Linked DNA regions of Medicago truncatula. Each later gene encodes a partner of the first gene's protein in a complex. Links are inferred from orthologs where the notes say so. Each region holds a gene or a part of one and is shown in the gene's direction. Other genes may lie near its edges.

The links. Proteins that work in one complex are often made in the same cells at the same time.
Region 2: protein GLE1 (region 1) and nuclear pore complex protein NUP62 share a complex: the UniProt entries of both Arabidopsis thaliana proteins name them as parts of the nuclear pore complex. The link is inferred for Medicago truncatula from reciprocal best matches to the Arabidopsis thaliana genes GLE1 and EMB2766.

The regions. Positions count from the first base shown.
Region 1 is NC_053044.1:42,616,308-42,623,350, forward strand, and holds the start of protein GLE1, read left to right. Parts: upstream 1-4,024; 5' UTR 4,025-4,182; coding exon 4,183-4,184; intron 4,185-4,303; coding exon 4,304-4,465; intron 4,466-4,599; coding exon 4,600-4,752; intron 4,753-4,853; coding exon 4,854-4,974; intron 4,975-5,119; coding exon 5,120-5,268; intron 5,269-5,900; coding exon 5,901-6,069; intron 6,070-6,439; coding exon 6,440-6,644; intron 6,645-7,043. Other genes in the region: glycosyl hydrolase 5 family protein, read right to left, coding at 1,302-1,715. UniProt on the Arabidopsis thaliana protein: Required for seed viability.
Region 2 is NC_053048.1:21,855,338-21,862,323, reverse strand, and holds the start of nuclear pore complex protein NUP62, read left to right. Parts: upstream 1-3,965; 5' UTR 3,966-4,115; coding exon 4,116-5,535; intron 5,536-6,986.

The DNA.
Region 1 (7,043 bases):
AAACGGAGGAGTAATTGGTTAGAACCTAAACCAAATTAAGTCTGAACATATATTTTGAACAAATTAGACAAAGTCCTGATTAAAAAGGTTCCGTATTATTAAAGCCGGTGCTTTAATACTTAGGCTAGCTCACCAAATAGTCGACCTAACCATTCAATAGCACAGACCTCGAAATACTTGCAAAAATTTTAGTCCAACAAAATGCTTTTTTTGTACTACATCATTGACTTTGGTTATGGTACTTTCAAGTTCCAACATAGTCGCATTGAGAGATATTAATGCTCCAAATTAATTTTAGTCCTATTGTCATGTAAATGCAATTCACAAAAGGATGATATTTCAATCGTGTAAATAAAGTTCTGTTTGGCAAGGACAACTTTTGAGCTTATAGTATTGGAGTATATGTTTAAGATAGATCTCTTTGGAATAACAATTTTTTTTCCAGCCTTTATTTATTTTTGTCAAGTTTTCGTGCCTTTGTTATTCTATTGGGTTAGGTTTATATATCCATCTTTTGTTTTTCCTTTGTCATAAATAAGTTTGCATACTTAATTAAAATAAATAAATAATAATTAAAAATATATTTTTATATCATTTAATTCTTTTTGAAATATTATATCATTTCATATTTATCAACTAATTTAATGTTAAGTCTGTCAGAAGAAAAAAAAACTAATTTAATGTTAATTTTATCAAACGTTACAAATATAATACACTATCTTATTCACAATTAACTATCATCATTTCATATTTATCAACTAATTTAATGTTAATTTTATCAAACGTTACAAATATAATACGCTATCTTATTCACAATTAACTATCAGTTAGCTATCCCTGTGAGCTTAACTCAGTTAGTAGAGATATTGCATATATATGCAGGGGCCGGGGTTCGAACCCCGAACACTCCACAATTTAATTGTGTGAGCTCTAACCACTATACTACTTGACAAAAAAAAAAACTATCGGTTAGCTTATCCGTTGCATAATCATCATCTAATATAAGTTAACTTATCCACCTTCCATTACTTTTTACCCAACAAAATCCAAAACACATTTCCTATGGTACTCGTAAGGATGAGTAGCCATCTAGGGTTTAATATATTCATATTTAAATATTTATTTAATGATATAATTTCTTGAATACTCCTCTAATAATATGAATTTAATTTGTCAATAATTAATCTTTTAATTTTATGGAACAAATGTGCATGAATAAAACTTTTGAAAAATGATTTTTCCATGAGATTAAGATATTAATCATAATTAATTTTTCTTAAAATCAAAATCATAAGGAGTACCTGGTAAGCTTTGATGAGGGGAAGGTCAATGATGGAGGGGTTGTTGGCTTGAATCCCAGATATGGATTGAAGAAGTCCTAGATTGTGTAGAGAGTGTCTCACTTTAATAGAAGCAAAAGAGTCATTAGTGAGCAAGAGAAGTGGCCAAGTGAGCCTAACACAGTTGAAACCCATGGATTTTATTCCCTTTGAAATTACATCAAGAGGTTGATGGCTCAAACCCTCAGCCACTGAGGTATCTAAATGTGATGCCCAATTAACACATGCTAGTTTCACCCTCTTTTCACTTTCATTCACGATCCACCGTCCATTGGTGTGAAGTGGAAGAGCCGTCACCCTTACAATGGAGAGCAGTAGTAGCACCATTACTGACATTGTTGCCATATTTGGTAACCCCCAAGAGCATCCACTCATATTCTGTGTTAATATTTCAAGTACTATATGTTAACATCATATCATGTCATGTGATCTTAGTTTTCACATACATGCATTGGGATCAATATATACACTAATGCCCGTGACTCGCTTAATATTTGTAGAGACAAAAGTCGACAAATTTTGTAGTAATTACTTAACTAACAACAACTTTAATTAATAATACTCTCTCCAGAGGGAGTACTATCACACAAACTTTTGAGTTATAAAGGACCAATTATATATAAAAATAGAAAACCAAAAGAGAAATTCTAATATGGTCACAAGATCAAATAAATAATGTTTGGTCACACACATAAAGAAATATTTATTTAATAATAAAAAGAAAATTGATAAAATAATGATTGAGTATTTTAAGGATAGTCTTTTCTTGTAGGTAGGGATGGAAATAGGCCAGGCTGGCCTACAGGGGCCTATGGTCTGACCTGCTTAAGCGTGGTCTGACCTGACCTGTTTATTAAAAAGGCTAGGCTTAGGCTTTTTAAAAAGTCTATTTAAGTAAATAGGTCAGGCTTAGGCTATCAAAAAAGCTTATGAAGCCTAATAGGCCAGTCTGTTTATGCATGTTAGACTTCATAGTGAACTTTTTAAATAGACTTTAAAGCTTTATAGTGAAATAGGCTTTTAAGGCCTTATAGTAGTGATAGACAAGTCTTACACTGAAATAGGCTTTGAGGCCTATTAAACCTATTTAAAAGTAGATAAAATGGAATGTTTAGTGACTTTAATAGTAAGTAGGCCTGTAAATAGGCTTTCAGGCCAGACCAGAAAAAAAAATAGGCCTATGAAAGGCCATAGGCCAGGCTCAGGCCTGCAAAAATTTTTGTAGGTCAGGCCTATTCCCAACCCTACTTGTAGGATGTTGGTGGACAATAATAAATTCAAACATTTAAGGTACCATAGAAGAGGAAATATGAAAGCAAATAGAGAATGAGAGAGAAGACATGAGAGGAGAGGAGATAGAATGGAGATGAGAGAAAGAGGAGAGGTACGAGAGGGAGAGAGAGAAGGGAGATAACGGGGCGTAGAGTATTATATGTTATATTTGATACTATGCCCCGTTATATTATACGTTATATTTTATACTACTTGTTAGATTAATTGAATCTATTTTTTAACTATTTAATTAATATATTTCAAACATAATCGATAATTGTCATTCTTTGCTATTAATTGTTGATATTATTATATGTTATATTTTATTCTAAACATATTATTTTATTATATATTAATAAAACAATTTATATTTTAATCGCATCAAATTAAATCGGATCAATTTTTTTTAAAATAGTGATCTAAACCAAACTAAATTGCAAGTAATATTTTTTGGTATGCAACTAGTTTTTACTTCAACACTAACTAAAATCGCGATATGATATCAAGAAGTCCTAGCATAACTGGCAAAATGTCAAAATTGTTAGGCCGAATGTCATGATTGGGGTTCAAACCCCAGTACCTCCATTTGTGTGTGAATTTATAATGGCTTTGCCATTTCGTCTACCTACAAAAAAAATAAAATCGCAAAGTGATCACCTCTAAATGAAAGAAGAGATAATTATTTTACACATTTATCAAATAAGGCGTTGAAACATCATTAATATGCTTGAAAAATATACTACTATTTGTTATAGTATTAATTGACATGACCGCGTATTATTTGATGTCTATGTAAATAACTTTAAATTATCAATATAGTATGACGATCAAACTCGAGATAAAAACGCATTATCGATAACTTTATCAAATAATACGTTGGAGGGCATTTTGCACATAAGTGCAAAATTTCAGGGGGGTATTTGCAAAACATCATGTTCACTAACAGAAAAATTTGACGGAGGGGGTAAATTGACTAACGTTGTGAAATTTTAGGGGGGTAATTGAAGTTTTGTTAATTTCAGGGGGGTAATTGATGAAACTTACAATTTCAGGGGGGAAATTGACTATTTACTCGATTAAATGGTTGAAATTTGGTGTAAGTCTTTTTACTTACATCTGGTATGTTAACGGATCATGCTTCATTAAAAAAAAAATATATATTTGTACAACTATTTTCTAACAACATTTTAACAACTTTTTCTCTCATACTTATATTATCTTCTTATTCTCTCTTCCTTTTTTTTCTCTCTATTATTTTTGACCAATTAAAATAGAGAAAACCAAAGTTATTCTATCAAAGAATTGTACAATATCACTATTAAAAAAAAAAACCAACAAACAAATAAAGTCGATGGTTATCACGAATTAGCGTTGTTGTTAAGCTTAAAATCCCGGTTTCTCCTTATCCAAACAAAAAACACCGTACTATATATATATATAAAATCGGGGTTTCAAATTCAAACTTCACTTCCACCTTCTTCTTCTTCTTCTTCGCGATTCATTCTCCGAACAATCTTTCCATAACTTTCTTCCAACTCTACTCACTACATATTCATCAAGAATCAAAATAATGTAAGTTTCAATTTATTTATTTTACCCATTATTATCACTAAGATTCTATTTCAATTCAATATTTTGTTTAATATTCATAGACAACATGAATTTGAGTTCATTAATTATGATATTTGCAGGGGAGCTATGAAATTGGGTCGAGTGGATGATGATGACATTGCTGCTGCTGATCCTGATTGGAGTTTCGATGCTCTCGTCTCCGAGCTCAATGCCTTGGAGAATAATCTCTCCGCCAATTCTTCCACCCCACCTTTGCATTTTCATCAAACAACTTCATCAAGGTACCCACATTCCAAAACCTTATCAATTCATTATTCTTTTTTTTGCACACCAACTGTTTGTGAAAATAACCGCATTAAGGTTATGAATATGAAGCATGTCATTATTGTCAAATTGAACTTTGTTGATTTTTTAGGGTTAACTTATCCGGTAGGAAAGAAATTGAGAAAGGTAGAAGGTTTGTGTTTCGTGCCCCTGAGTATGAGACGGACAGTGAGGATGACGACGACAAAGCGTTAGTAGTATCGGACACTGGAAAACACTTCACTTGTGATGAAATTTATCTGAGGTGCCTATTTCATGAACCGTAGCTTTATTCTCATATTTCAAATCATGATAAAGTCGATTTGATTTGATAGTAATATTTTGTCATTTCCTTTGGTGTTTCAGCGACAGTGATGATTCTGATGTTGAATCTGCTTTGGAAGTGCAACCTTACTTGATGAATAAAGTTGGGGAGGTAGAAGGTGCTTTGATCGAGTTAACACACGATCATCAACTGAGGGTTAATGTGAGTGGTTCTATTGATACCAATTTGACATGTCAGTTACAAATTGAATAGCTAGTCATTCTTGGTTGGCATATAACTTGTTAATTGCGTCATGATTTGTTTTGTGTTGTATAGCATACTTTTTCCTGATCTTTTCGATTCACAGGATGGAATTAGAAATAAGATCTCAGCATTGGAGATAGCTCTACTGAATGAAAGTCAGAACTCTATTTCATCCCTTCTTCGAGTTGAGAAATTCAAAGACACAAGGCAGGAGTTGGATAAAAAGTTTGATACTCAATATCAGCGCCAAATGTAAGACTCCATTGTCTTGTCCTGCTCCTTTATCTTTTCTTTTCAAGGCAACATGATTCCTTCATTCTACAACTTATTTATCTTGTCAGGCTTAAAAGTAAGCATTGACTATGAATTACAGGCTCCTATAAAATTGTCTACATTCTTAATGTGCTTTATGAGAGGTTCAAATAATGGGTTTTTTTGCATGACAGTGATTTTGTTGTTGCACCACTACCTGTAGAGATCCATTAAGCATTTTTTTACCATTTGTTTGAGCGAGGCAGGGGCATTATATGTTTCACAATTCTCTCAATAAATATTGGTGAAAGGATACATGACTGATCTGTTTATACTTTATAGGAGGAAGACTGGAAGACAATTCATTATGATGCACATTAATTTAAAGTCGAGGAATCTAATTTTATTTTATAAATTCACTTGTATGAATATTGGGCTTCACTGTGTGATTTGATGTTGATTCTATATTCTATTTCTCCTGTTGATAACTAATATTTTACATATGCAGCATATTTTCTACTAAACCTGCTCTTATATCACCCAAAATACTATTTCTCTTGTTAGATATTTGCTGTGTTTGAACTAGTTGAAAACAAAGAAACTAATTATTGACATCTCCAAACTTTTTGTAGTGCAGAAGCACTTGATAATCAGTTGACAGCTGTTCAACAAGACCGTGAACTCAGATCACAAATAGAAGAAAGGAAAATAAGAAGTGATGCAGCGTATGAAGAGGCCAAGAGAAAGGTTGCTTTGCAGGAGGAAAAACAACAGCAAGAAAAGGCTAAAGCTGAAGCAGAGGTACCATGCCCTTTTATTTTAGTTTGATTTTGTTATTTGGAAAAAAAATTATACATGTACTGTCTTCAATTTTCATTTCTAGTTATCATCTGTTCACAACTACAAAGTGAGGTGTTGGGTTACTTCTTTTTTTTACAGACATGTTTGGAGAGTCCTAAACTGCAACCCATACATTTACTGTTGCATTCGTTTGGTCTATTCACTTTACCGGCGACTAGCCTAAAACTTTTTTTCACTGATATTTACATGTCCACCACTATATGGATCTTGTTAATGTTAGTTGAAGTATACATTTTTGCTACCAATCTTCTTTATAGAAGCTTAAGCCCAAATGACCATTCATTCACGATATTTAAATGTTATGGTGCAGGCCAAACTTAAAGCCGAGGAAGTAAAACAAGCTGCATTGGAAGCTGAGAAAAAAGCAGTGATGGAAGCCAAAACAAAGGCAGCAATGGAAGCTGAAAAAAGAGCAGCAGCAGAAAAGAATGCTGTAGAAAATTCCAAAACTGTTACTTCTGGTGTGACACAAGAAACCGCATCAAGCCTATTAAATACTGAAACCAAGGAATCCAGTATGGGTTTTCTTTTTTCACTTTTAGATCATATCTTTCCAATGTCAGTTTTTTCCCTTTACCCGTTTCTCCTCATCCAATATGCCAAAATACTTTGCCTTATTCTTTTACTACCATTAAGTTGGAAATCCTTTGTTTCTCTGTATATATATTAGTATACTGGTAAAACTAGTTATCCTCTTCCTTGTCTCATCAATATTTATTTGATGAAGCTATTTTCGTGAGCAATAACTTCGGTGTCACTAAGACTAAATCTCCTATATTTTCTTCAGTCTCCACATTGTTAAGCACAAAAGTTCCGTTTCATACACTCTTTTTTTTGTTTCTTTTTGAGATATATATGGGATCTAATTCTTCAACATAAGATTTGTTGTAAATCATGAAGTTGAATCAAAAGTG
Region 2 (6,986 bases), on another chromosome or scaffold:
AATGTAACTGCTTAGATTTTAAGTCAAATGTATGCTATAAATAGAGTAGCCATCCATCACAAATAATCATCTTTTCTTGGAATGCAATATGTGACAATTGTCTTTCTAATAAAAGTTCATTTACTTTCTTGTTATTTATTTTTATGCTTTCTTTCTTCTTCTCCTTGTCTACGATGAACATTAGTGAGTAGACTTCTCTTGTCTTGGGATTGTTGGATAAGTCTAATGACATAATCCTAATCAAACCAAGCTTTAAACCTTAATCTTATGTAACCCTAATTCCTTATCTAAATTCACCGCTTTAACATGGATCAACCATTATCAAACTGTGGAAACGAAAGTGGAGGGTTTGATAATTGTTTATCCATCATCTCAAATATCAATTCATAAAACGAAAGTGGAGCTTTGATATTCGAACAAGTGAATTTAGACAAAGATTGTAAAGGCAGCGAAATAGTCTTTACAATCTTTGAGACATATAGTTTCGATCTTCAAGGGAACTAATAATGATCAAGTCAGCGAAATAGGCTTGGTTGTTAGAGGAACCAAAATCTAATAGTAATCAAGTCAGCGAAATAGGCTTGGTTGCTAGAGGAACAAAAGAGAAACTGTCTTGAGAAATTAGGTCTAACATAAGGTTATAAGTTTAATAGTTTGGTTTGTGAAGGACTTGTCATTAGGATGAACCAATAATTCCAAGGCTTTTATCTTTTCTTTTCTTATTTGCTTTTAATTAAAAATACAAACCTTTCTACCTTATAAAATCTTCAGTTTAATCATGATCTAAAGTTAATTGAATTCATAACTCCCTGTCGGAACGATACTCATATTTTACTACTTCGGTAAGACCGTGCACTTGCGGTTTTATCTCATCATCTACTCGCGAGGCGAGTTAGGGCGGTTTAACTCTTCACAGATGACATGGCACAAACCCAATGGTGAAGGAACCTCAACTCGCCATGGCGAATGAAGGAGCTTGCGAGGCGAGTTGATGCAGAGTCAGAATTCTATAAATAGCCCACTCAATCATCTCAGTTTTTGGGTATTAGTTTTTCATAGTTTTTCAATTGTAATATTCTTGGAGAGAGAGATAGGGCTTGTTCTTCATAGAGTGAGAGTGATAGAAAGTGGATTCTTCATCTTTTGTTGAGAAATCACAAGTTGTATTGAATCTTGCTTCTTCAATTCATTCTTGCAAGGCTTCCATGACAATGAGTAGCTAGATCTCCTTTGTTGGGATTAGAGGTACTTGATCTTAGCTTAACATGTAATCTTTTGATCTATAAATATATGGTTCTAGCATTTGATTTGATATTGATGTTATTCTTGCACTTTAATGTTATCTTTGATTTAATTGTGATTGAGAAATACTTTTGAATCTAGGTTTAGAATAACCATCTATCAAAACATAGGTTCTAGACATGGAATCGATGTTTTGATAATCACCTTGTGTATCCAAACCTAAAGCTTTGTTATCATTCAATAGATTGAGAAATCATCGATTGAACGATAAGATCGACTCTTGAATCATTCAATAGTTTGAGACATCGACCATTGAATGATACAATTGATTTCACAATATTGTTTGGACACGAATAGTGTTGTCGAGGGATATGTGATAATATCAAAGAAAAGCTAGAATCCATGTATGGTCATTAGGTTATGTGCGACGCTTGATCAAGGAACTCTAATCCTAACAAGTTTTACGCCCTATTAATCTCAACTTTATCATTTGCAACTTAGTTATTCAAACAAACAACAAATTATCGTTTAACTTAGAATGATATTTGGTGTCGAACGGTCCGCGATATCGCACTAGTCCCTGAGGAGACGATACAAATACTTACATTTGTTTGATGCAAAAATACTACATCAATAAACCATATAAATCGAGCATACATGCCATGATATCAAAAATACATCAACATAAATGATCTCCAAGTTCCAATAATGGGTAAACCTCCAACATGAATAAATCCAAACAGATAAATCTAGGAAATCTAACAGACACCTAGATCAGAGCCATCCTAGACTCAACTAAACCAATACTAGAGATAACTCCTGATATCCTCCAAGCATCAATCAACTCACCAGAGCAACTAATCCTGCACAGCGTCTACCCATCCATACAGACAGGTAGGCGGTCAAACCACTGGGGGTAAGTATTACATCATTATAATCCACATAACAGTTAGACATCAATAAAACAATTCAAATTCCAAATAATTGCCATGAATAATCAACCTCAACAATAATACATAATGGTAAATTCAAATATCACAACCAATCACTCATAACCACAAGTATGTCAATCATTGTTCCACATTTAGGACTCATGCAACAAAATGTTATGTCCCTAAGCATGACGCATAAATGCATGTGGTACCGAATCACCTCAAGGTCGTCACCTTCGATGCAACAAAAACATCGTATGTAAGATTTCACACCCGTCTTACATAATCTCCGAAGTAAAAGAGCTCAACCCTTTTACAACTACAAGACTCAACATGACTATGATGCATGGACATACAGGTAAGGACTCAAAAATGCAATCACCTCCAACAACAATATAAATGACAACTTCCAAATATATTGATCATCTCCACAACATTTGCATTATCAAAAAATGATTGTTGTGTTTAGATGCTTGATTTAGATTTCTTTCTTTGTGAGTTATCTAGAGGATTGTTGAGGTTAGATGCTTGACTTCAAATGATTGATTCATTTTCTTCTATGCTTTTTTATCTTATTTCAAGGTTTTTACACCCTGCAACATTTTTCTTTATAAAATGTTAAGAGTTAAGCTCACATTTTTTCGTGGTGATTGGAGTTCGAAACCCAAACCTTGCATATATTATGCATTGTCTCTAGCAACTGAGTTAATCTCACTAGGATAATTGAGCTCATCTTTTAATACAACATACTCTATTTTACTTTAAAAAATGTTTTAGGGGGGTGTATTGAATTTATGATTTTAAAAGACTTTTTGATAATAAAAACATCTTATGATATTCAATCAAGACTTTTATAGAATATAAATAAATCTCATGGCATTCAATCAAGATAATCAAAAAAAATATCATTGTTCACGTTAGATACTGATTTTATAGAATATAAATAAATCTCATCATTTATATTATTGCTTCTCATTGTTGTTGTTCACGTCCACTCAAGAAAAATATCGTTGTTCACGTTACATACCGATTTTATTTGGAAATATTAATTGTATTTTCTTTGAAATATGTTCTTTCACAAGAACATGATCAAAGCTTTGAAGCATCATGTGGCTATCATTTTCTGTGTGTGTGGCGTGTTTGCTTTGTTGTTATTTTACAACAGCCCAATGATGGAAATAGGTTTCATGGAGAGGTATAGGATTACCAACTTCATCAGCTACCTCGTCGTTGAAACTCTTGAGTGCTATGTGACCTCTTGGAAAATCAATATTATATTAATATCTTTTTATAACTGATCCAGGTCCTAGCTCGGGACAAAAAAAAAAAATTGATTTTATTGTATTCACAAAAGAATTTGAGCATTTTTTTTTTCTTCTAGATAATCTAATGACTAGAATTCATGAATAAGTGAATAAATGGGATGTCTGGGTTCGAACCCCAACCCCTGCATATAACAATGCATTGTTCCTGCCAATTGAGCTATTCTCACGGGGACTTAAGCATTTTATTTTATCTTCTCATTGTTGTCGATGTAAAAAAATCCATTCACTCTTGTAATATTGAATTATTCTTAAGAATCATACAATCTTTTCAAATCATAAAATCTTAAAAATTTATGTTATAAATCCATTCAAAGTATAGTTTGAAAATTCTGATTGTGAAAAGTCTTTTAAAATCCTACAAAATCAAAACAATCACACAAAATTCTCATCCTTCTGATCAAAATTGGACGGATACGAGGTCTGAGGGTGACTAAACTTGACTGAGGTCTGAGGGTGTGAATAGCAATTTACTAAATTCAGTTCAATCATCCCGTTGAATAAACGCTACCGTAAGCAAAACCCTGAACCTAAAATCTCAAACCCCTCCTCCTCATTTTCAAAACCTAACAGAAAAAATCCCAATCACCACCACTCCATCACTTTCTCACTCGCAACAATGTCGGGTTTCCCATTTGGATCTTCATCTTCCACCCAATCATCATCCTCCACATCAGCATTTTCATTCGGATCCTCTCCATTCGGATCCTCACCTTCCCCTTTCTCCACCACAACAAACCCTACCTCCACCGCCACTGCACCTTCTTCCTTCAATTTTGGATCCTCTTCTTCCTTATTTGGTGCTTCTCCCGCTTCCTCCACACCGGCCGCTGCATCTGCTCCTTCCATTTTCGGTTCTGCCACCGCTGGCTCGCCGTTTGGTGGTGGAACTCCCTCAACTCCGGGGAATCTCTTTGGCGGAGCTTCATCGGCTTCAACACCGCTATTTGGAGGAGCGGCTTCGGGTTCAACAACGGCTTCTACAACAATGTTCGGAGGAGCGTCACCGGCAACTTCTACGGCGTTCGGATTTGGTTCATCTGCTTCATCGACTCCGTCGTTCGGAGCACCGTCCTCAGCTTCTTCTACGCCGTTATTTGGAGCACCGTCATCGACGCCGTCGTTTGGAGTTGCGGCGTCATCGGCTTCAACGCCGTCATTCGGAGCACCGTCATCGGCTTCTTCAATGCCGTCATTCGGAGCACCGTCATCAGCTTCTTCAATGCCGTCGTTTGGAGCACCAGCCGCTTCGGCTTCATCGACTGCGTCCTTTGGATTTACATTTGCATCATCTGCTTCATCGACGCCGTCTTTCGGAGCACCATCATCAGCATCTTCCACACCGTCGTTTAGTGCACCGTCATCGGCTTCTTCTACGCTGTCATTCGGAGCTCCGGCTTCTACGCCATTGTTTGGAGCACCGTCATCAGCATCTTCTACTCCGTCCTTTGGTGGAACAACCTCTTCTGCAGCAACCACGTCTTTTTCACTTTTTTCAAAACCCTCTGCTCCAGTTAGTACTATAACCGCAACGAATTCTTCTAATTCGTCAGGGTTTTCATTAGGAAACTCAACTGCATCCGCTTCTCAACCAGCATTTGGTTTCGGCAATGTGTCTTCGTCTCCGGCGGTGGCGGCATCTTCAGTGTCCGGTACACCGGCTGCTGCTAAGCCAGCGAGTTCTTTCTCGTTTACTACATCATCGGCGCCGTTGTTTTCGACCTCGACTGTGACTACTACAACAGCCTCCACAACTACGACTGGTGCTGCGATTGTTTCGGCTTCTGTGCCTGCTTTTGGTGCTACTGTTGCTGGATCTTCTGCTCCGGCGAGTGGTGGATTTTCGTTGTCGGTTGCTCCAGTGGCAGCAGGGTCTAGTGGAGCTGGCTCGTCATCGGCCAGTAGTGGACCGTCGTTTGCAGGTTTTGGTGTAGGAAGCTCGGCGTCTACTGCTTCGACAGCTTCTTTTGGGACGGGATTTCAGTTTGCTAATAAGACTTCAACTCCGGCTGTTTCAGCATCCACTGCTCTTACATTTGGTAAGCCATGTTTTTTGAGTTCGAGTATGTTTATTGTTGTCTTTGAGGTGTGTGAACTGTCTTTGTTAGTGTTAGAATGGAATATTTTGATTTTCATATATGATGCCTCTTTTTATTGAGTTTATTTGTTGCTTGCACACAAATGAAGTTGTACTATAGAATATGGTACACGAAAATGTTGAGAGTGAGTAACTGAGATGTAGCATGGTTTTGCGTTTGAAGCTCCAAAAGCACGTTCAGTTATGCTCCTGTTGCGATTTCATAGAAGCTACAAAACTAAGCTTCTAATGTAAACGTGGAAAAGTTGCCATGTAACCAAGCAGAGCGTAACATAGAGTGGAGGGAAAGGGAAGTATGTAGATAATTACTTTAAATTACATGTTACAACTTCGTAGGTTACATAATGTTAGTTTAATTGGTTAGAGTTTATTAGTTATTACAGTTAGGCAATCCTCTAATTGCAATAGGAGAGGAAGGGTAAAAATAGAGAATGTAAGTGAAGCGAGTTAGTTAATCCATTAGTTTTTGGAGTGAGAGACCAGGCACTCAAATCTTTGTGGAAGACTGATATTATTGTGTATAAATTCTTGCTCGTCTTGAACCTCAATGTCCATTCATTCATGGAGGATATCCAAATAAAATTTACTTAATTTATTTCTGTTAATCTCTTATATTGTGAGTTTGTATCTGTAGTAACTCAATGAAAAGATGGCGGGAGGGAGAATTTTACAAGTAGAGTTAGAGTATGTTGTAAGACAAACTTGGAAGCGTTTGTGCGTTGTTTTGATTCCTTGGTCATGGTTATATTATTTGTTGTTACTTCTGGTCTAATTTCCTGTTAGGAACCCAAGAATTAAGATTCCAAACGAATTCCTTAAAACTGGGCAGAAATGAATACACAGCAATAATTCTAACTAGGATAAAGATTGATCAACAAAATTGTGAAAAGAATTCTTTGAATATCTTTCTGTTATTATCAATTGAATGGGATGATAGGATTGAAACAGAAGATACAAAAGGTTTGTAATGAAGAAGATAACCTTGCACTCAAGGCTACCCCAAGGGAGCACTCTCCCCTCACTAGAGCATTCTCTAGTTTACAATTTTCATTAAATGAATTCCTAATCCTTCTAAAGGGAGGTAAGTCCTATTTATAAGCAATAGGAGATTAACATCAATTAAGACAGAAAGTCTACCAAACTTAACTACTAACCCCTAATTAACTTCTTAACACCAATCCTAACAAATTCCCCTTGATTCCAAGTCCTAACATTTCTGTTTATTCATGCATTAGTTTATTGGATATTTTACTGTCATTTATTTGAAAAATTTGCTGGTAAATCTAAATCTGAAGGTAATTATTCATGTTGTGAGAATTATGAAATTAGTTAGATTTACAACATCTAATAGGGCTGCTTTATACCTATAGAATATAATGGGTTAAGTTTATT